Astyanax mexicanus: one gene and its partner. The protein of the gene in region 1 interacts with the protein of each later gene in a biochemical or structural test. Links are inferred from orthologs where the notes say so. Each region holds a gene or a part of one and is shown in the gene's direction. Other genes may lie near its edges.

The links.
Region 2: the proteins of ube2g2 (region 1) and marchf6 form a complex in vitro, tested with the Homo sapiens proteins (2 studies listed by BioGRID). The link is inferred for Astyanax mexicanus from reciprocal best matches to the Homo sapiens genes UBE2G2 and MARCHF6.

What each region holds. Positions count from the first base shown.
Region 1 is NC_064412.1:25,902,508-25,912,568, reverse strand, and holds ube2g2 (ubiquitin-conjugating enzyme E2 G2), read left to right. Parts: upstream 1-5,682; 5' UTR 5,683-5,783; coding exon 5,784-5,826; intron 5,827-6,351; coding exon 6,352-6,387; intron 6,388-6,477; coding exon 6,478-6,523; intron 6,524-7,614; coding exon 7,615-7,733; intron 7,734-8,187; coding exon 8,188-8,328; intron 8,329-8,679; coding exon 8,680-8,792; 3' UTR 8,793-9,258; downstream 9,259-10,061. Other genes in the region: cep20 (lisH domain-containing protein FOPNL), read right to left, coding at 3,380-3,509, 3,798-3,882, 4,588-4,785, 5,132-5,222. UniProt on the Homo sapiens protein: Accepts ubiquitin from the E1 complex and catalyzes its covalent attachment to other proteins. In vitro catalyzes 'Lys-48'-linked polyubiquitination. Involved in endoplasmic reticulum-associated degradation (ERAD).
Region 2 is NC_064415.1:39,737,203-39,747,727, forward strand, and holds the start of marchf6 (E3 ubiquitin-protein ligase MARCH6), read left to right. Parts: upstream 1-5,586; 5' UTR 5,587-5,843; coding exon 5,844-5,862; intron 5,863-7,799; coding exon 7,800-7,899; intron 7,900-10,510; coding exon 10,511-10,525. Other genes in the region: atpsckmt (ATP synthase subunit C lysine N-methyltransferase), read left to right, coding at 1,167-1,304, 2,729-2,779, 3,627-3,839. UniProt on the Homo sapiens protein: Endoplasmic reticulum membrane-associated E3 ubiquitin ligase that plays a critical role in mitigating endoplasmic reticulum stress, the regulation of cholesterol and lipid homeostasis, and ferroptosis.

The sequences.
Region 1 (10,061 bases):
TTTAATAAATCTTTACAGGTTGGATGACTTTAGTATCAATCTCCAATTCCTCTAAAAATATTAAAATAATGAAATGTATGCATATATGCACACACTTATGCTGGTGTGCTATAAAATATTGCTAAATATTGGAAGACTAAACTGCTGTAGGCTGAGTAGACCAGATTACACTGCTGTAGGCTGAATAGACAAGACCTGTTATAGGCTAAATAGACAAGAGTTAACTGCTATAAGATGAATAGACGAGAGTAAACTGCTGTAGACTAAAAAGACAAGAGTTAACTGCTATAAGCTGAATAGACAAGAGTAAACTGCTGTAGACTAAAAAGACAAGAGTTAACTGCTATAAGCTGAATAGACAAGACTAAACTACTGTAGAGTGAATAGACAAGACTAAACTGCTATAAGCTAAGTAGACAAGACTAAACTGCTATAAGCTAAGTAGACAAGACTAAACTGCTGTAGGCCGAGTAGACAAGACCTGCTGTAGGTTAAATAGACAATAGTTAACTGCTATAAGATGAAAAGACGAGAGTAAACTGCTGTATTTTGTGGGTGCAGTTGATGGCCCTTGCCTGCATGTTTCCAAAGTAATGTTTTACTGTTTTCCTAGAAAGTGTTCGGTGGCCTGGTGGATTAAAAGAATGAAAGGAGAGTAAGAGTAGAGTAGTAAGGGAGAAAGAGAGAGAGAGAGAGAGAGAGGAAGATGTACTGTTGGACGTGTGGTGTGCCATATAAGGTCAGTGGGGTCCGGCTGGAATCCCGTCTGCATTCTGTGTTTAAAGGAAAGACCAAGTGACTAAATATGGTTCAGCTTCTGCAGCACTAATGGCATTGTTACAACTAACAGGACCGCGCAGAAACATATCTGTGCTATGTTTACAAACCTGCAATACACACACACACACACACACTAACTGCGCTCAGCCAGAACCAAGACCAATTAAGGGAAGTGGATGACAGCACCTGGTCAATCCTTAGAAGAAAACTGGGCCTGCCTGTAATGGATGTCACATTGTACAACAACTAATTACCGCAAGTTTTATTAGTGTTCATGTCTTCACTGACACTGATGAACATACACCACTTTCACTATTCCCTCTCTTTCAGTCATGCTACAGTGCTAATTACCGCAGCACTAATACTAGGCTGTGTCCAAAACTGAGCGGCTTTTTCAATGCCTCACTGTCTCACAAGTCAGGGCAGTGATGTAAATAAATCACAGCTGTGATTCCTGACATTATTCTGGTGTTCAGTTTATGAGACCAGTTAGCAGATAGCTGTGTTAGCAATTAAAATGAAATATATTTTCGGAACCTACCTGTCTCTGATTTCAGAATATGTAAGCAGTGTTTGCCATGTACACTGCCTGACCAAAAAAAAAAGTCGGCACTTGGATTTAAGTAAGCAAATGATCTGGCGGTGCTGCAGTTGATCAAGTATAGGTTTAGCAACAGTATGTGCTGAAAGAATGATGTCAGCTGACTACCTGAATATACTGAATATAGACCAGGTTATTCCATCAGTATATTTCAAGATGACAATGTCAGGATTTATCGGGCTGGAATTGTGAAAAAGTGGTTCAGGGAGCATGAGATCATCATTTTCACACATGGATTGTTCACCATAGAGTCCAGACCTTAACCCCATTGAGAATCTTTGGGATGTGCTGGAGAAGGCTTTGCGCAGTGGTCAAACTCTACCATCTTTAATGGTGTAAACTAAATGCAACGCTGGATTGAAACAGTTCAGAAGCTTATCAAAACAATGCCACAGCGAATGAGTGCCGCAATCAAAGCTAATGGCGGTCAAAATATTAGAGTGTGTGACCTTTTTTTTGGTGGCGACTGTTTTTGACCAGGCAATGTAATAGGATCTATTTTCAGCAGTTTGGGCATTTTTACACAGTTAACAGGGAAGCTTATTTCTGGTCAGTGTTAGGGGGGTTCAGGTTAGCACATACTACAGGAGGTTGTGGTTTTGCTTTCGTTTTTATTCTTTTCATGTTTTTAATGACACACAGGAGCTAGTTGAGTGATAATGACCCCTTTAGGTGGAGAATATTAAGCTTAGTGTAAAAGAAAATAAATAGATTGAAATGTCAAAAGACATTTACATTTACATTACATTTTTAACAGTAACCTGTAGCCTATAACAACTTACAGTACATTTTCAAGTAACTCTCCTAAACCTGCTAACTGATTTTTACTGAGCACAAGCAAAGGCACAAATAACAAATAAAGTATCAATTTCAGATAATTGTATATTATATACTGTATGATTTGCAGGCGTAAGGGAGCAGTCATCTGTATGCTGGAGAATCCTGCTAGTTGCTGAGGGGTGGCACATCTACCAAGGTATTGCCAGCTCAATAAATGATTATGAATGCCGTGTTCTCATTTACTATTAACATTTTGTTCAAGAAAATGCAAGGCAAGATTAGTAAACTTTGATTCATAATTGATATGGTGCCTTCCTGCCTCAGAATCATTTTAAAGTTTAAAGCATTTCTAAACTGACAGAAACAGCCAGTATCTGAATAGTTCCTTACTCCCTGTTTTGCATTGCATTGTGCTTTGTAACCACACTCAGAAAATGACAGGATTAAGTACATATTTCGCATATATGAGTATTTCCCCGCTTTAACACTTATATATACCTACTTCATAATCAAATACTAGTGAGTGTATATATATATATATATATGTGTGTGTGTTCAATTTCAATTTAAAGGGGGATAATTAAATGACATTATTTACATTAAATTAGTAAGATAATACATTTGCACAGATTTAAGCTTGTTTGGGAGATGTTGTAGAACAGTTGATTCCTACTTCCACTCAATGATCATGATCCGCTGGTGTATTAGAGCAGGTTAGAGGTCGAATGTCAGTACAGGACTAATTTCAGTACTAAATAAAACAAAAGAACAGAATGTTCCCAACAGGATTAAAACAGCTCCTGTAGAGGACTCATTTGGAACGTGGATCAAAACTTTCCAGGCAGTAAATTAAAATAAAAAATGAATTATGATCAATTCATGTGGATTTGTGTAAATCATTTGAACAGCCAAAATCTTTCAGCTGTGTGCTCCCCCGGTGGTCAGCACATGAATTACAGACAGTCGGAGACAATATTACTGTGCAACAAAGAAGGTTTAATACGAGAAAATATAAAACAGCATTAAAACAGACAATGCATGAGAATTAATATTAATATTTTACACTAATAAACATCTCATTACCTGCACACACTCTTAAATTGCCTGTTACACACAACATTTAACTTGTACTCAAGGCAAAAACACATTAAAATGAGCTGTTTGGGCACTTTAACATGTAAACAGTAATTGAATAATCTGATCTGATCCCTTGAGAGCTTATAAACTCTCTCCGTCACCCTTATTGGCTTGTTGGGGGTGTTGTTGGGGGTTCGGAGGGTTCCTCAGGAAAAGTTTTCCGCTGTCTGCACTGCTGAGGAAGTGTGAGAGCAGGCTATATAGCAGAGGACTGAAAAACAAACAGAAACACAGTCATATAAAGAAGTTCTGAAGAAGCTGAAGGAGTTAAACTGCATCAGTCTAAAGGTATGACTGAACTGCACAGAAGCTGGAATATTACAGCTGTTTTACACCCAGAAATGAGCGGTAAAAAAGTGATGGATTTAAAAACCTGATTCTCCTGCAAAGGCTCTGGCAAAATGATTCCCAGAACATTTTACTAAATTTAATATGAAAACTGTGGAGAGCTCTGTAGTAAGGGGACAGGTGCATTGTGTAAATGAGTGTGAATACTTACACTGCTGCAGCACTCGGCTCTTCTACAACATTCAGCTCACTTGCCAAGAACCGCCGGTCCAGAGGAACCTCAGGCTGACCTGACTCTGAAACACACTCAACACTTTTAGTACTTTAAAATGTTTTTTAATGTTGACACTATGAGTGATGAAACTGCAGACCTGAGGCTGTGAGATCTGATCATGTTATCTACTGATTTTAATTACTGCACTGGGGTAGTTTCTCAGATATATTACAACAATAAATACTCAGTTAAAGGAACAATATGTGCTAAATATATAGAAGTGTAAAAAGGCCCCAGACAGATGCCTGGTTAAGGATGCCGATCAGAGTGCAAAACAAGTACAAAAACATCTGCAATGGCAAATTAGGTTTCTATTTGTTGCTAAAGTTAGTCAATATAATTCGGTCATGCGGTTGCTACTGATGTATTAAACATCTAAGGCCTGTCTGGTCCTCCACTGTGACTAAATGCAGTTACCATTTACACTTTACCTGTCTCAAATTCTCACTGCCTTGATAACCCATCTGCAGCAGCACACTGTGTTTGCCTGCTAATGTGTTCCATACCTGGCAACTTGAGGTGTGGAAATAGGACTGGGAAATGGGCAGAGGAAGTAAGAATCTTCATAATTTCCCAAATCCTTTCGAAAATAAAGTACCACATAACCTTGCTTGTAACATGTGTTGTGATGCAAAGACCATGACGTGAAATTACTGTTTTATCACCCAGCCTTTATTATTAACCAAACGAGAAATAAAATTGAGTACAGCACCCCTCCTCAGCTCACCAGCGATTAGAACAGATGCCGTGTATCGGTACTTATTGAACTCCAGGTATTCACGGATCAGTTCATTAATCAGCAAGTTCTCATGGGTCAAGGGGGGTCGCTCCTCACTCTGGTCATCCAGTGCCCGAAAGACTTCAGATCGGATCCGGGCCTTCAGCTGCCCCAAAACACCCCGCGCCTCCAGTGCCTCCCGCAGAGCTGCAACAGAAACACATGACAGAACATAATTAAACAAAGCTCAACAAACACGCTTAAATGTCAAAACAGAAGTTTGTGTGTATTCGTACTTTCAATTCCACCTTAAACGGCGCCGTAGCTCTAATCTGGCGCCAGAGACGTTCCTACTGTTACAGCTACCAAATTTAAGGTGGAACGGAACATTCAACTCCAGTTTGGTGTTTTGTTTCCTAGTAGCCAAGCTGCTGCTGTCCTTCAGATACCGAAGTGCAAATGCTCGATCTTAAAATACATCTGTGCAATACATTACACTATCTAATTAATCGTTAATAGCCTGATTATTCACCCAGATTTAAACAAAACTTACCGGACTTTAACTCCGCCACTGTTGCCATGGAGGCAGCGCTGTTGTTACTGCTCTGCCCGACAGAACGCGCTACAGGCGGCGCTGCGACCATCGATATCGTTCTATTAAATTACATAATAAAAGTCTTACATTAAATAATGCATTAAAAATAACATAAAATGATGCATAAAACGGCTAGTAATCATGTTATCGTAGTGTTAAAGATCATAACAGCGAGCTGTGACTGATTCTAGACACTGACTAATGGTTATCTTATGAAATTTAAAGGTGACTTTAAACAGTTAACCGGTGTTTATTATATGAATTGAATGATCTTAATGTATGTGTTTTTATCTATTTATATTTTTTGCAACCTACATGCATGCTGAAATCAACTTTAGCGCTCTGGATAAACTAAGACAATACATTGTCTGTGTTTAATTAATAAATAATATTTCTGCAAAAAAAAAATATGATTGCAAGCAGGTGAGATTTGAGTGAGATGAGCACAAAATGTAAAGCAAGATACGCTCTGGGGCTTTTATTTTGTACTCTTTGTCAGTCAGACTGCGCAGATGTCGGTGGTGCTCTGTGATGGGGTGGCGCCCCCTGTGAGTGAGCGCTGGTACTGCAGATGTGAGTGGACTGGGCTGCACACAGAGAACGGGCCGTGATGGCAGGAACTGCTCTAAAAAGATTAATGGCTGAATATAAACGTAAGGAAACACGTTATTGATTCCCGGTAGAGAGTTAAATAAGCGCGGCCTGTTGCGGTTTTATCAGGGAGCTAGCAGCGACTAGCCGCTGAGCCATTAGCTGGCAGTGCTACTCCCCCAGTTACTAACTAGCTTTAGCAGGGTTAGCTAACGCCAGCTTGAGCTGATTATTATTATTGTTAAACTGACCCGAGTTAATGTTTAATATTAGAAATAAATATTTCCGGACGTTTAATAAGACCTTAAATGAAGCGTAAACTAAGCTGAAACACGTTTTAGTGGAAACTGTTTTTATTTTATTGGCTAGCTGGCCATTGTTTATTATTATTCCAGCTAAATAGCAAACCTACATAGATAGGTTAAGTTAGGTAGCTAGTTATTAAAGCTATATATAATTTCATAATTTTCTTGTTGAAATGATCTTCTTGATATTATTGATAATGATATTAGATATTAGATGATGTGGGTTTGTCTCTGATTGTATATTTAAGTGTGTGTGTGTGTGTGTTCGTGTTCTTTCATCAGAGCTGACCCTGAATCCTCCAGAGGGAATCGTTGCAGGTAAACAGACACCTGCAGCTTTACATACATATAGGAACGGACAGAACCAGCAAACAGTAGCTGAAGTGTGTCTCTGTGTGTGTGTTGCAGGTCCTGTAAATGAGGAGAACTTCTTTGAATGGGAGGCGCTGATCATGTGAGTCTATTTTCTCATGCTGCTTTAGCTTGTTCAGTTGGGGGGCTGGCTCCACTGCAGATACTAAATATTGACTTGTTTGACATCATCTTTATTCATGGGCAGAAGGAGTGAAGTACATACACTATACTAATAAAGTCTGACTGTTCTGGAGACTAATGCATCGGCATGGCACATAAACAAATCTGTAATAGAGCTGCCTTCCCTCCCTTTTAGGTTTAATCGGGCTATGTTTATTGAGCTGCACCCTTATTTAGTCCACTCTGACTTTCTGAGTTCTGGACAATATGCTTTTTCTTGCCCCTGAACATATACAGATATTAACAAGAACGTTTTTTATGTGTTTTGATCTCATTTATCTACAATAATGTGCTGTTTGTAATTTAAAAATGCTTTCTAGGGTGGAGATTTTTTAAACCTTTTTGTCATTTAAAAGGGAAAATTAAACTTCATAAAATAAATGTGTCTGGCTAAATCACAAATGCTGCCTTGCTCCCTATATGTCTGTCACAATAACATTTTCTTGGGACGATATATTAACTAAACCCAAACATAACTGGGGTAAACAATACAATTGTCCATTGATCCTTCATAATCCTAACAATGTATAATTTGGGAATAAACTGTGTTTAAATTTTTCTTTGTGGTGTTTTGAGGTCTCTATCACCTTATGCAGCGTTAGCATGCTTATGCAAGCCTTTTTGTCTCAGAGTGAAAGAAAACGTTTAAAAAAAAAGTGACAATATAAAGTCTTTTAAAAAAAATATAAGGTATTTTATTTGCATGTGTTTGGTCAGAACATTAAGCTGTTTGACTTTTATGATTTTCCATAAGATATTATTTCCCCCTGCTCGGCTGCCCTGCTCATATGCATGTTTTGGAGTGGGTTTTTCGTTCGTGGAGAGATTTTATAAGTGATGTTTTTGTTTTTAAAAATATTCAGAAATGTGTTGACAAGGCCTAGAAGAAAGAGGAATCATCAGCTCTGTTTATCTTTTACTTTAGTGGTGTTGATAATGATGAGAGTAAGGTATATATCTGTAAAAATAAGTGCAAGCAGAGAGTTTATTATTATCATTTGTCTCTTTTAGGGGTCCTGAGGACACGTGTTTTGAAGGAGGTGTTTTCCCGGCTGTTCTTAGCTTTCCATCAGACTACCCTCTCAGTCCTCCCAAGATGAAATTCACCTGTGATATGTTCCACCCCAACAGTAAGTTTATCCCTCATTCTATTCTTTAACTGATTAGAAAAACATGCAGTGTTTTCGTGTTAATTGAAAGGTTATATAGACAGATGGTTAACTATTAAATACAACTTTTGTGTGTTTTGGGGAAGATTTTCCTGCAAAACATGGAGATCAGTATTATTTCTCAAAGCAAGACATGAAGTGGTCTAAATACACTATAAAATATTAAACAAAATTCATTCATATTAAGTCTTCATTTAAGGACTTGCCATAACATACAGAAAACATAAAGAGTTTCAAATAGTAAATACCACTTTATTGAGTGTTATTTACAGGTACCAGCAAGAGTTTACTGACACATGATTTGAATGAATACTTTAGGTCTGAAGATCCACCCAGCTTCTGATTAGAAGTTTGTTTTTAACAAGAACTGGATACCGTTCTCACTAAAACAATTTCTGTTTGATTGTGTGTGTAGTTTATCCAGATGGCCGAGTGTGTATCTCTATTCTGCATGCTCCGGGAGACGACCCAATGGGGTATGAAAGCAGCGCTGAGAGATGGAGTCCGGTACAGAGTGTTGAAAAAATCCTTCTGTCTGTGGTCAGCATGCTTGCAGGTATGCACACACACACTTAATTGACCTTTATTTGGGAACGATGTAAACAGTGTGAACAAATCTGTCCCTGAAACACCACGCACTTACTAATTGATTTGTTTTACAACATTGGGACGCTACCACTATGATTGCGAGAACACTAGTTTGAATCCCAGTAGTTTAGCTCCATTTACCCCCATTAATTGAGGGATTACTAGCAGGCTGCCTCTAGTGTTTCGCAGTCATTTTTTAATATAACTGGGGAGATGGGAAGTTGGCAGGCTCTCCATAATCCGACTCTGATTCTGGCTAACTGTGTGCTGACTAATGGAAGTGTTGGTAATGGTGCTATTCCTTTTTCTTACTTTTCAGAACCAAATGATGAGAGTGGAGCAAATGTGGATGCTTCCAAGATGTGGCGAGAGGACAGAGAGCAGTTCAACCGATTGGCCAAACAGATAGTCCGCAAATCCCTGGGCCTCTAATCTCTATCACACACACACACACACACACACACACACATATACACAAACACATACACAAACTTCTCCATAACCTCCTTCATCACACTGAGCACTTTATCTGTGTCTGTCCTCTCTCACTGATACTGATGGATGGATGGACAGATGGATGTTAAAGATAAATTACACCTCCTACATCAGTGGACTTTCTCTCAGTGCAGCATTTCTGCTCCTTTCTGGACTAAAGGATTGAAATGCTGTTTCTTGGTTTCCATTGAAACAGTGGATGTTGTCCAGTCTGCTGTCTGAATGCTGTGGTGCATGTTTCAGTGCTTCATATTAAAATGATTAAATCTATATTCTTATGACAAGCAGAAGGAAACGGGATATGAAACGGTGAGAGATTTATTTGACAAGATTTGAAGTGATTGTTTGAGTTCCTCTGCAGTGGAGGAGAGATACGACAATAAAGTTAACTGTGATTCGTAAACATCTCGAGTCCCTGATTTCAGACTGTCTCTTACATTGTAGTAGATATATCAATGGGTAAGAAGTGTTCTTCTAATGAGGGTTACTTTACCAGTGCTGCATACTTTTTTTACTAAGATCTTGCATTTGTAATGGTAGTGTCTGTTGGCTGCACAAAGCTTTCTTCAGCACATCCCAAAGATTCTCATCGGGATTAAGATAACCTGCTTAAATATTTGCACCAGAAGTGCAAAAGCAGTGGGAAGACTAGTCAAGAACATGCCCAGATGCATTAAAAGTGTGATTAAAAACAAGTTATTCCACCAAATATTGATTTCTGAACTCTTAAAACTTTATGAACTTGTTTTCTTTGCATTATTTAAGGTGTGAAAGCTCTGCATCTTATTTTAGACATTTCTCATTTTCTGCAAATAAATGCTGTAAATGAAAATATTTGTATTTAGAATTAGGGAGAAACATTGTCTACAGTTTGTAGAATAAAACCACAATGTTCATATTACTCAAACACATACCTATAAAATATCAGAAAAAAATGGTTCAGAAACTGAAGTGGTCTCTTAATTTTTTTTTTCCAGAGCTGTATATAGTAAATATCTACTTGGCCAGTATTCCTTGGATATTTGACAGTAAAGTGATGCATTTTTCTAAAAAAAAAAAACAAAAAAACAAAGAAGTTTACCTGTATGTTTCATTTTCCTTTAGGTGACAGATTTCTGACAGTAAAGTGTGAGCTGATGCCAGAGTTATTGCCAGAGCATGTTTAAAATGCTAATAACTGGAGTTTAAAGCTTTACAAATGGCAAA
Region 2 (10,525 bases), on another chromosome or scaffold:
CAGCGTTCCGAGATCCAGATAATTAACAGTTTGTCCAAACACACTTCAGACTGCATGACACGGGGGTAATTGGCCCTGATAAAGCGCTTATTTCACCCCTCCAGGCTCAAAGTAGCTCCACACCTTCTTGCTAGAATCCAGAGAGTCCTGACATTTAATATGAGGCATTAATAACTTAAAAACTGCACAATAACTTTATTAAAAAACGCTGTTTATATCTAGCTTTAGCTCCGTGCGCTGCCATCTTTGTATTGATAATGACAGACATAGTGCTGCCCAACAGCGTAACACTGACGAATCCTGAGCCACTAAGCGCTAAGCCAGGGTAATATTGGGAACATTTAAATATTTATAGTTATTTATGTATACAAGAAATATCTGCATCCAGTACAACAAGGCATACAAGGGGGTCAAAAATAAAAACATGCACATGTGGAAGAATATGTAAAGAAGGATATTTGGCCGCTTATACATTTTTCTATTATCTTAAATCTTGTTGCAAGCTTACACGTTACAGTGAAATTATTATACTATTTGGAAAATGTAAACAATAAAACTGGAGAAACAGGAGTAAAGAGAGGAAATAGTGACGAGATAATACCACACACTTCTTTGGATTAATTATCATCTGTTAACCCTCTATGGCATAAATGTTGTCCCTCAGGCGACAAATCATCTTTTGGTTATTAAACCATTCCATACATATCCTATTTTTTATGTAACCTTAAGTTACTGTATTTTACGGTGTGCATGTTTTTATTAAATTAAAAGTGAAGGTAAGATGCTGTAATAAACAAAACTTATGCTTAATGCTGCAGATTATACTGTTTTTAAAAATCTCTGGATATGTGTGTGGACTATTACTTGTACCTGCATGTATCTATCCAAAAAAAAGTGTTTTTCCTACCAATCCCCTCCCTGACCTAACTATTACTGTTCTTTACTAGAAGGGTAATATAACTAAACATGTCCAATAAAAACAAATAGACCAGAACTGAGACTGTAAAATAAATCCAACGTAGTGTCTTAATTATATTGTTTATGTTAAACCACTATTTATTTTTTGTTATTGCATTGAAAACGAAAAAAAAAAAGATTACTTAAACACTGAAAATGCTTGGTTTATTTCTTACCAGCTACTTCTCTACTTATCTTGTCCCCAACAGGTTATAGCTGCAGCAAAAGAGGGTTTCAGGGCAGTTGGCTTTGAGCTGAATCCGTGGCTGGTGTTGTACTCTCGTTACAGAGCTTGGAGGGAGGGAGTTCATCACCGCACCTCTTTTTATTTATCAGACCTGTGGAAAGTAAGCAATAGGATTGCACTCACACAAACAGTTTCAGAACTGGTTACCCTAGACCTCCTCAAACAAAATCTTTAAACTCTATACATTTTGTATATATTTACAGCGTTACATACACTTTTACCTCATACACATCATATAAAGTGCTCCACATCTGGTTTTCTCACCTAGTTTCATTTCTTTAGGCAGACTATTTTAATCTTATCTATATCTGACATTCATCTGAACAGTTTGTGCTCCTGATGTGCATATACAATAGAGCAATTAAATATAAAGTCAACAGTAACAACCCCCTTACTTAAAGGAAAACTCCGGTGTAAAATGGACTTTTGCTGTAGTAAAACAAGATAACAAGTACTGACCTTGTATGAAGAGCACACCTCCGTTCTCCCACAGCGTTCCGAGATCCAGAAATTTTAACAATTTGTCCAAACACCCTTGAGACTGGGTGACACGGGGGATAACTTGCCCCGATAAATCGCCTTTTCCACCGTTATCCAGGCTCAAAGTAGCTCCACACCTTCTTGCTAGAATGCAGAGAGCCCTGACATTTAAAAAGAGGCATTAGTAACTTAAAAAGTGCAGAAGAAGCTTATTAAAAACCATTAAATTATTAAGACCACTGTTTACATCTAGCTTCAGCTCCGTGCACTGCCATCTTTGTATTGATAATGACAGACATAGATTATACACAGACATATACATAGATGCCGGCCGCTACGCTATGCGGAGTCTATGTATATATATGTCTGTGTTATTATTAGTAGAGTGGTAGTGGCGCACGGAGCTAAAGCTAGATGTAAACAGTGGTCTTAATAAGCACCTTTTGCACTTTTTAAGTTATTAATGCCTCGTTTTAAATGTTAGGGCTCTCTGGATTTTAGCAAAGGGGTGTGGAGCTATTTTGAGCCTGGATAACTGTGGAAAAAGCAAGTTATCGGGGTAAATTATGCTCCATGTCAGGGTGTTTGGATCTCGGAACGCTGTGGGAGAATGGAGTTGTGCTATTCATCAAAGGTAAGTGCTTTTTATCATGTGTTGCTACACCAAAAGTCCATTTTACACTAGAGTTCTCCTTTAATCTTCATGTTAAAGTGCATTGGAGGCCAGCTGCAAATCATTGTAAGATTGTTAAGGTTGGAGATAGCAAAGACTTTAAATATGTGTCTCTAAAGGGTCATGGCAATTGTTGCATTGTGTACCTTTCTATTTTTGATTGATCAGAGACATCACCCCAAACAATTAAAAGGTCTGAGTAGGTCATTTTAAAAAACGTATTTGTCATTGAAGAATAACTGAGAGTTTGTTAATACTCTGTTTTTCTGACAGTACCTTACAGTACTTCTCAATACCTTTAGCGTACACATAAAATATAATGTTTCCTTTTCTATTCTTTCTTATTGTTGTCTCTTTTTTTTCTTTTATAGGTCAGTTTTTCACAGTACTCTAATGTGGTCATATTTGGAGTTCCCCAAATGGTAAGAATACACACATTTTTATATCTCAATCCGGTCTAATACATTGACAGATTTGTGATATTTTTTGGGGGGATCTTATTTGGCCTATGTTCAGTGATTTAGAGTGGGTGCCACAATCTACATCAGTTAGAGACATTTAGAGAAGGCGACATAAAAATCTTTCAATTTGTAATAAAATAATTACATTTCCCTTTAAATGCAGTGTAAAGCTTTTGCATGAACATGAGCTATACAGTCAATTTAGTTCTTTGACTGAGTTAAGAAAATGTTTACTTTAATCCAATCAGAATAGTGAAATTGAGAAAGCACTGCCCTCTACTGTTCAGTGTTCAAACACAATACGTGTGAACTTTTAATTGAAAATGTGTGCTGTATTTTTGAGAATCTATACAGTTGCAATACATAATCATGATATGTCAATATTTTTTATAGCCCTAGTGTACAGTGCTATGAAAGGATTAGTTAACAGATATTACACAAAGCAAAAGAAAAGTCATTAGTTTATAGTGTGTATTGACAGATGCTCAACATTCTCAGTTTTTCAGATCTCAGTTCTCAGATCTTTATCTAAATGTAAAGATCTCAGGTATTGTTTACCTGACTAAGCCTCACTTTTATAAGCCTTTGCTATGTCTTTACAATTATATCACTGCGGTGGAATCTGTGTTTTTAAATTCAAGTCATTAATTTCCTGTTTCCAAAATAAAATATACAGAAAGAAAATCCTTATGGGTACTGTGCTGCAATCGTGGAGTTTTACTGTGATACTGCAGCACAGACCATTGAGGATTTGTCCATTTGTGTCAAGTACATGTTCTAAATGAAGTTATAAATATTCACTCCACAGATGGAACAACTAGAAGCCAAACTGCAGTCAGAGCTTCAGACCTCAGCCAAAGTCGTGGCCTGCCGCTTCCCGTTCCCCACATGGACTCCTGACCACATGGCTGGAGAAGGAATTGACACTGTGTGGGTGTATGATGCTAAGACATTCAAATCTCAAGTGACAACAGCAAAGCCGCTGAACAACCCTGAAGACAGCAAGACTCTCCCTCAATGATGCACTTTGCACTGAATGTACTGTCTATTACAGTAAATGGGCTGGAGGAGGATTCCTGTTTATTATGTTAAGTTAACAATTCAATGTTAATAGTTTTATTACACACAATTAAATAAGAAAAGATTATCTATACAAAAGTGAGTCCATCTTTCCTTTGTATTATCTATTGTCAAACTAGAGACTAATTATGCTGGAATTAAATGCACCAATATAGGGTTTAATGCCCCAACCGTGCACCACTTAAGCACTATATTGTATGATATTACAGTTTATCTTCTATGCATTTTATATATTCAGTAGCACATAATAGTTCTGAAAACTTCAAACACTCCATTTGCTCTATTTAACTGTCTTTGATCATGTAAGTAATGGCTTCTTTGCCCAAATACTGTGCCACCATATAGTATATTTTGGGCGCTTCTCTCTCTGATTCACTCATAAGCACGACACACATTAACACATATACACAGCCTTGGGGGGCTCCTGACTATGAAAGAACATGGTAAAATTATTCAAGCCAGAGGTCACCTTCTTGAATGAATGGTTGTCCCAATTCTTGGGGGGAGAATTTCACCCCTTTCATTTGTAACTCTGTTCCATTATATATAACCTCCTCATTATATATAGAAATAGTGCATTATATGGTATGTAAGCCATATTGTGGTCCAATTTAAAATTTAATCAGTACATTTTATTTCATGGCTGTTTACAGAAACTTCTACTTTTTCCTACTGATCCTCCTCCTTTCCTCTATGACCCAGAGACTGATTTTGTTTAGTCATCTTGTCGTCTGTCTGAATACTGGAGCAGATGAAAGAAGGGCTTCAAATCTCCCTGCAGCTTTTTCCAACAGAGAATACACCAAAGTATCCTACCCAGGAAGTCTTTTAGGGATTTTAGAGTGACATCACATTGGCCACGCCCACAGAGCACACAAGCGCACATTTTTTATTAATAAATTCATTCATTTATTTTATTTTGTAATACATTCTGTAAAAATAGTACAACTCCCAAATAATACAAATCCCAAAGGTTAGTAGAACATAGATAATCACTTCTTATAAGCAAATAAAAATACATAAAATAAGTAACACACAAGGCTTTCACTTTTATCTGATTGGCATTTTGTAACATTTTAGAAATGTAGTATTTTCTCTGCAATGAGCAGGAGTTTAAACATCCACAATTAACCCTTTCACACCCTGCATCCATTACAATGGACATCATGTATTTTCTTTTTTTATAAAAAACATAACACTGTTTGAGAGTTGTTCAAAGGAAAAGACCATGCCAACCAAGGAACACGTTTATAAACCAATGAAACAGTAACTTGGCCTGCCTACTACTGGAAAACCAGTAGTACTAGAGTCATTGGGGCAAAGTAACAGCTAATTCCAATGCAATGGGAAAAAACTGCTCTTCCACTCTGATCGGGAGATCACTGGTTCGAATCCTATTCATGCAGCTTGCCATCGGCTGCAGGGGCCCTGAGAGAGCACAATTGGCCTAAATAAAAAAAAAAAAAAATAGGATACATTAACAAAAGGTCAGTGACAGCTCATTATAAATTCCTACAGTTCTTCTTACAGTTTTTACATTTCTTATTTTTCTAAATGATTTCAAAAGTGAGGTAAAGTCTAGCCCCTATATAGTTCACTATTAAACACCCGTAATCCATCACAGAGTGTAGTATCTGTCGTAGCCTCTGTCCTCGTGCGCTGTCCTGCCGGAAACAGTGCTGAGCTGTGCTCCAGGGGTTGATGGGAGATGTAGTTCACTGACATTTTACCGAGCACAGGTTTTGTGGGCGTCTGAAGGGGGTTAGTTAGCTAACACTAAACTGAGCGGTTGTGTCCGGTGTGCGGAGCTGGTGTCCGGTGTGCGGCTGGTCTGGAGATGTGTGTGTTGGTGAGGCGTTAGGAAGCTGTTGTTGTTTTCCAGCTGTAGCGGATCGGGGTTATGAGCGGACTGTAAAGAGGACAGTGCGTCACGACCAGCGACAAGATGGACACTGGAGAAGAGGGTAAGCTCCGGACCTTTAACGGGCTTTAACTGGGCTCTAAAATTAGACGGGCTCTGGGCACGGCTGTTTAATGTGAGCGGTTAGCCTGGGTTTCAATATGGATCCGAAGTACGGGGCGCAAACACCGCCGTTCAGGCCGGGCTGCTGTTAGTTAGCTGTAGCTGGGTTAGCTGGGTTGGCTAATGCTAGCTTTATAGCTTCCAAGTTAGACTGGACTATGTGGCCCTGCGCTGTGAACCGTAACGCTAGCTATTTAGCTACTTAGCTAATGCTAGCTTTGCTTTGCTAGTAAACATGTCATCGCCCTGAACTCAGTCAACAAAGACCCCCGCACTGATATTTGAGCTGTGTTTTTCTTTAAAACAGACTGGTTAGCTAACAAGGTTAGCTAAGCTAACGCAGTGAGGTATTCAATTTATAGTGTGTATTGACTGTTAGCTAGCTTTTAGCACTGTTAGAGTCAGTCGGGTGAGCTCTGTTTTCTGGAGGTTTCTCAGAAAGTGGGTTAGTTAAGCACTAAATGGTTCAGCACAGCAGTTTTATTTTACCACCACTGCTAACTTACAAGCTAGTTAGCTTAGCTAACGTATATTTCTGGTTCCTCAAAATCGCTGAAATCTGCAGCGATGACTGGAAAACGTTGAGTATATTACTCACAGTTCAGTAAGTAGTGTCAGGTGTAGCACAACAGAATTATGTGGACTAGGGTTAGCTAACTAGCATTTACTGGGGATCAAAACATTCGCTTTTAACACACACTTGCGAATCGAAACATTCCTAAAATAACAAATGTTTTTCATAAAACACACAAAAAAAAAAACATTTGGCAGTTGTTGTGGCTATTTAACCCCAAATAGCCAATGGAGACTTGTGTGTGTATGTGTATGTGTACAATTCGTACAGTAGTAATAACTCAGTCATTTTAACTCATGAATTTTCTAAGTAACACAGCTCTGGAAAAAAACAAGAGACAATTTCAGTTTCTGAATCAGTTTCTCTGTTTTTGCTATTCATAGGTTTATGTTTGAGTAAAATGAGCATGTTGTATTCTATAAACTACAGACAACATTTCTCCTAAATTCCAAATAAAATATATATTGCCATTTATTTGCAAAAAAAAGAGAAATGACAGAAATAAGAAAAAGATGTTGAAATATTTTCAGACCTTAAATAATGCAAAGAAAACAAGTTTAGTTTTAAGAGTTCAGAAATCAATATGGTGGAATAACTGGTTTATGATAACAGTTTTCATGCATCTTGGCATGTTCTCCTCCGCCAGTCTTTCACACTCCTTTTGAATAACTTTATGCCTGCACTCCTGGTGCAAATATTCCAGCAGTTCAGCTTGGTTTGATTGCTTGTTATCATCTGTCTTTCTCCTGGTTTTATTCCAGAGGTTTTCAAAATTGTGAAATAAAAAAAAAGAAACGCATATTTTTTTAAAGTGGGCTCTTATTTTTTTCAGAGCCAGAAAAAATACATCCATTAAATTATTATAACCACAATGTTGCCATGACAATCATGTCCACAATGATTAATGTTAAGATGACATTTTTTTTTAACAATAGATTGTTCTGGAAATTATTGAGGTGAATGATTTAATTGTTATTTTAAGATATTGTTATGCTACCAATTTATACAATGATATTATAGCCTAACAATGCAATTACACCCATCATTTATATCCTTGGCAACAAAAAATGGGCAATATGGAGGACAGCAGAAACGATTAACGTCATGTCCATATATTAAAGGATGAGCTGATAATGTAATTATTGTGACCTGCATAATTAATACCTTAAAAATGAACGGACATGTTCAGTATGTTTTGTTACTTTGCAGCAAAAAAGTTGTAGACCTGCTGATACTAATTATTAGTTATTATTAATTATTATTATTAATTATATTAATTATTTTTATTTTTTTATTTTTTGCAGCTGACATATGTAGAGTGTGTCGGTCTGAGGGAACTCTAGACAAACCCCTCTACCACCCCTGTGTCTGCACTGGAAGTATTAAATTCATTCATCAAGAATGGTAAGTGCCAGTTTTTCTCACATTCCACACAGAGCATCCAGTCCTATTACTGGTTTTCTGTGCCAAACTGACCTATATTTAGGCCTTTTCAGGACACAGACACATTATAGTCAGGTGCCGAACTTTAAAAGCTTGTCTTAAGTGTAAAGTTTCAGAAGAAAATCTTCCTAATTTAATATTCCGTCATAATAAATATAACATTAAGCTGAACAACCAGATCGGGCTTTAAATGTGTTCTCAAGCAGTAATGCTTGCTTTAATGATGTAGCAAGAGCATATTTTTTTTATCAACAATTTAGAATAAAAAAACAAACAAAAAAAAAAGGTCAGTTTAACATTGGTTGCTTACGACCCTTTCACACAATGCCTCTGATTTGTGTCTGTTTTGAGACATAACAACGAAAGGCCTCTATAAACTTCTCTAGAGCGCTAGAGATTTTGACAAAATCTTTGTGTTATAATTAAAAAAATATTATAAAGCAATGTAAAAAGAAAAAAAAGAAAACTGACGGCTGGCGTACTTAATCAGCCACGGCAGTGGCAGAGCAAGAACAATCACAGGTTTAACAGGGTTTATATAAAGCCTTCTCTTCATAACAAAGACCTGATTGCAACAGAATGAATTTGCACACCTCCAAATAAAGGTTTTGTAGACAAAGATAATTATAAAAGTGGGGAAATCTGGTAAGTGGACAAAAATACATTCTCACCAATAAAACTTTGTAGAGGAATTCGTGTTGAGGCTCCACAGACCCATTTAAAAAAAAAACAACAAAAAACAATGTACTTTCTACAGTTACTGGTTTCAGTAGGTTTTAGTTTGTTAAAAAGAATTTCTTAACTCAAAATGACTTATGGCCTATTTTTACTATAGGATTTGTGCACAATAATCAGACAAAAATTACTTATCCTCTTTGTTGCACAGAAACCTTGCTTCTCTTTCTTTGCTGGTTTTCACTTTTTGACAGTGCACCTCTTAAGAATTGTTCTTTCCATTAAAATTTCATCAGAATTTCATGATGAATGAGGTGATAAGAATGCTGTAAAATGACTTGGAATAAAGTCTTTTTACATTGACTTGAAGCCGAAGATTTTTTTTTCTTGTGTAAAGTTGCTTTTTTGGACAGTTAGCATTTTGTGTGAAAACAACAACATTTTCTTTGTAATAGAATATGCTGTTAGACACTTTCTTTAAAGGTGAAATCTGGTGAGAAATGGACTTGGGGTGTAGTGAAACATGATAACGAGTACAAACATTTGTAAAATAACCCACCTGGGAGCATTGGGAGCATTGTCTTAAAAAATGCTGTATTTTGGAATGCTGGGGGTGAGCAGAGGTGGGCTTTTCGACAAAAGTTTGTACCCGGTATCATGTTTCACTACAACCTAAGTCCATTTCACACTGTAGTTCTCTTTTAATACTTGCAGTATTTACAATATATTCAGAAATGTATATTATCTGTCAAAATAAACACAGTTAAACTATCAGAATATGACACATGATACAAAACCATTGATACAAATCTATTAATTGGCTCTTGTGCTTTTATCAGCATGAACAGAGAGGTAGATGGTGCAGTCAGCCAATAAATGATAGTCAGAGCACCAAATGAAAGGAATTGAAGACATAATGCATGCAACCTGAGATGGGAGTGGTGTTTCTGCGTTCCTGAAAAGTAGCCTGCATCAGTATTGAACAGGTTTCATGGCCAGCCTGCAGGTGCTACAAACTTTGATTAGCAAGAACATGATTCTACTTAGTACTCACTTACTTTAAAAGACTTTAACAGTGAGTGTGCAAATGAAGACAAATTCGACTATTAAGTGTTTTACTGCACCTCAGTAAAATGATCTGTTTAAAATGCTCTGAATACAGACTCCTTAATCAGTTTTCACAGAATGTTTATGGCATAGAGAAATCGTGCCAGCTTGTTTACTGACGATCTGTAGCTTTATTACCCTGCCACTTCACCTAATTTAGTTTTCTTGCAATCTCTAGGCCTACAGTATGACTGGGCATATGATAAAAATAGTGTCATGTATATTTAAGATACAATACTGTATGGGTTGCAATACACACAGTGCAGTCAGAATGCATTTGTAGTGACAGAACCACAATTCAAATGCTTTCCCAAACTGAGTACACTGACTTGAAATCTCATAGAATTGAAAAATGGCAATTCCCAGGCCTGGATAAGTTTTGGAAAAATCATGGAAATTTGTTTTACAAAAGTTTGTGTTTCTGTTTATCAATGAAGAAAATCTATTTTAACAAATACCTCAGCACAGAGTTTAGTAATTTAGCCCTACGCAATCTGACACACATTTTGTTATTGAAGATTGTGTGTCAACTTTTTTTATTAGATGTGATTGGCTGAAGTGATTGGCTTTATACGTTAGTTAAATTTATGACTTCTTTTAAGCCTGAATAAAAAGCTTCATTCTGTGCACGCCAGCCTTGCCTGCAGTGATCAAGAATAAGGTTGTCGTCTTTGGAGCGTGGAAACGAGTCACTGGAAGCTTCTGTGCTTTGTTCCATATGTTCACTCAGTCTCACTCAGTCTCTCTGTCTTTCTTCCTGCTCCTTTTTTCTCTTGTTTTTTTTTTTCAGCTTGGTGCAGTGGCT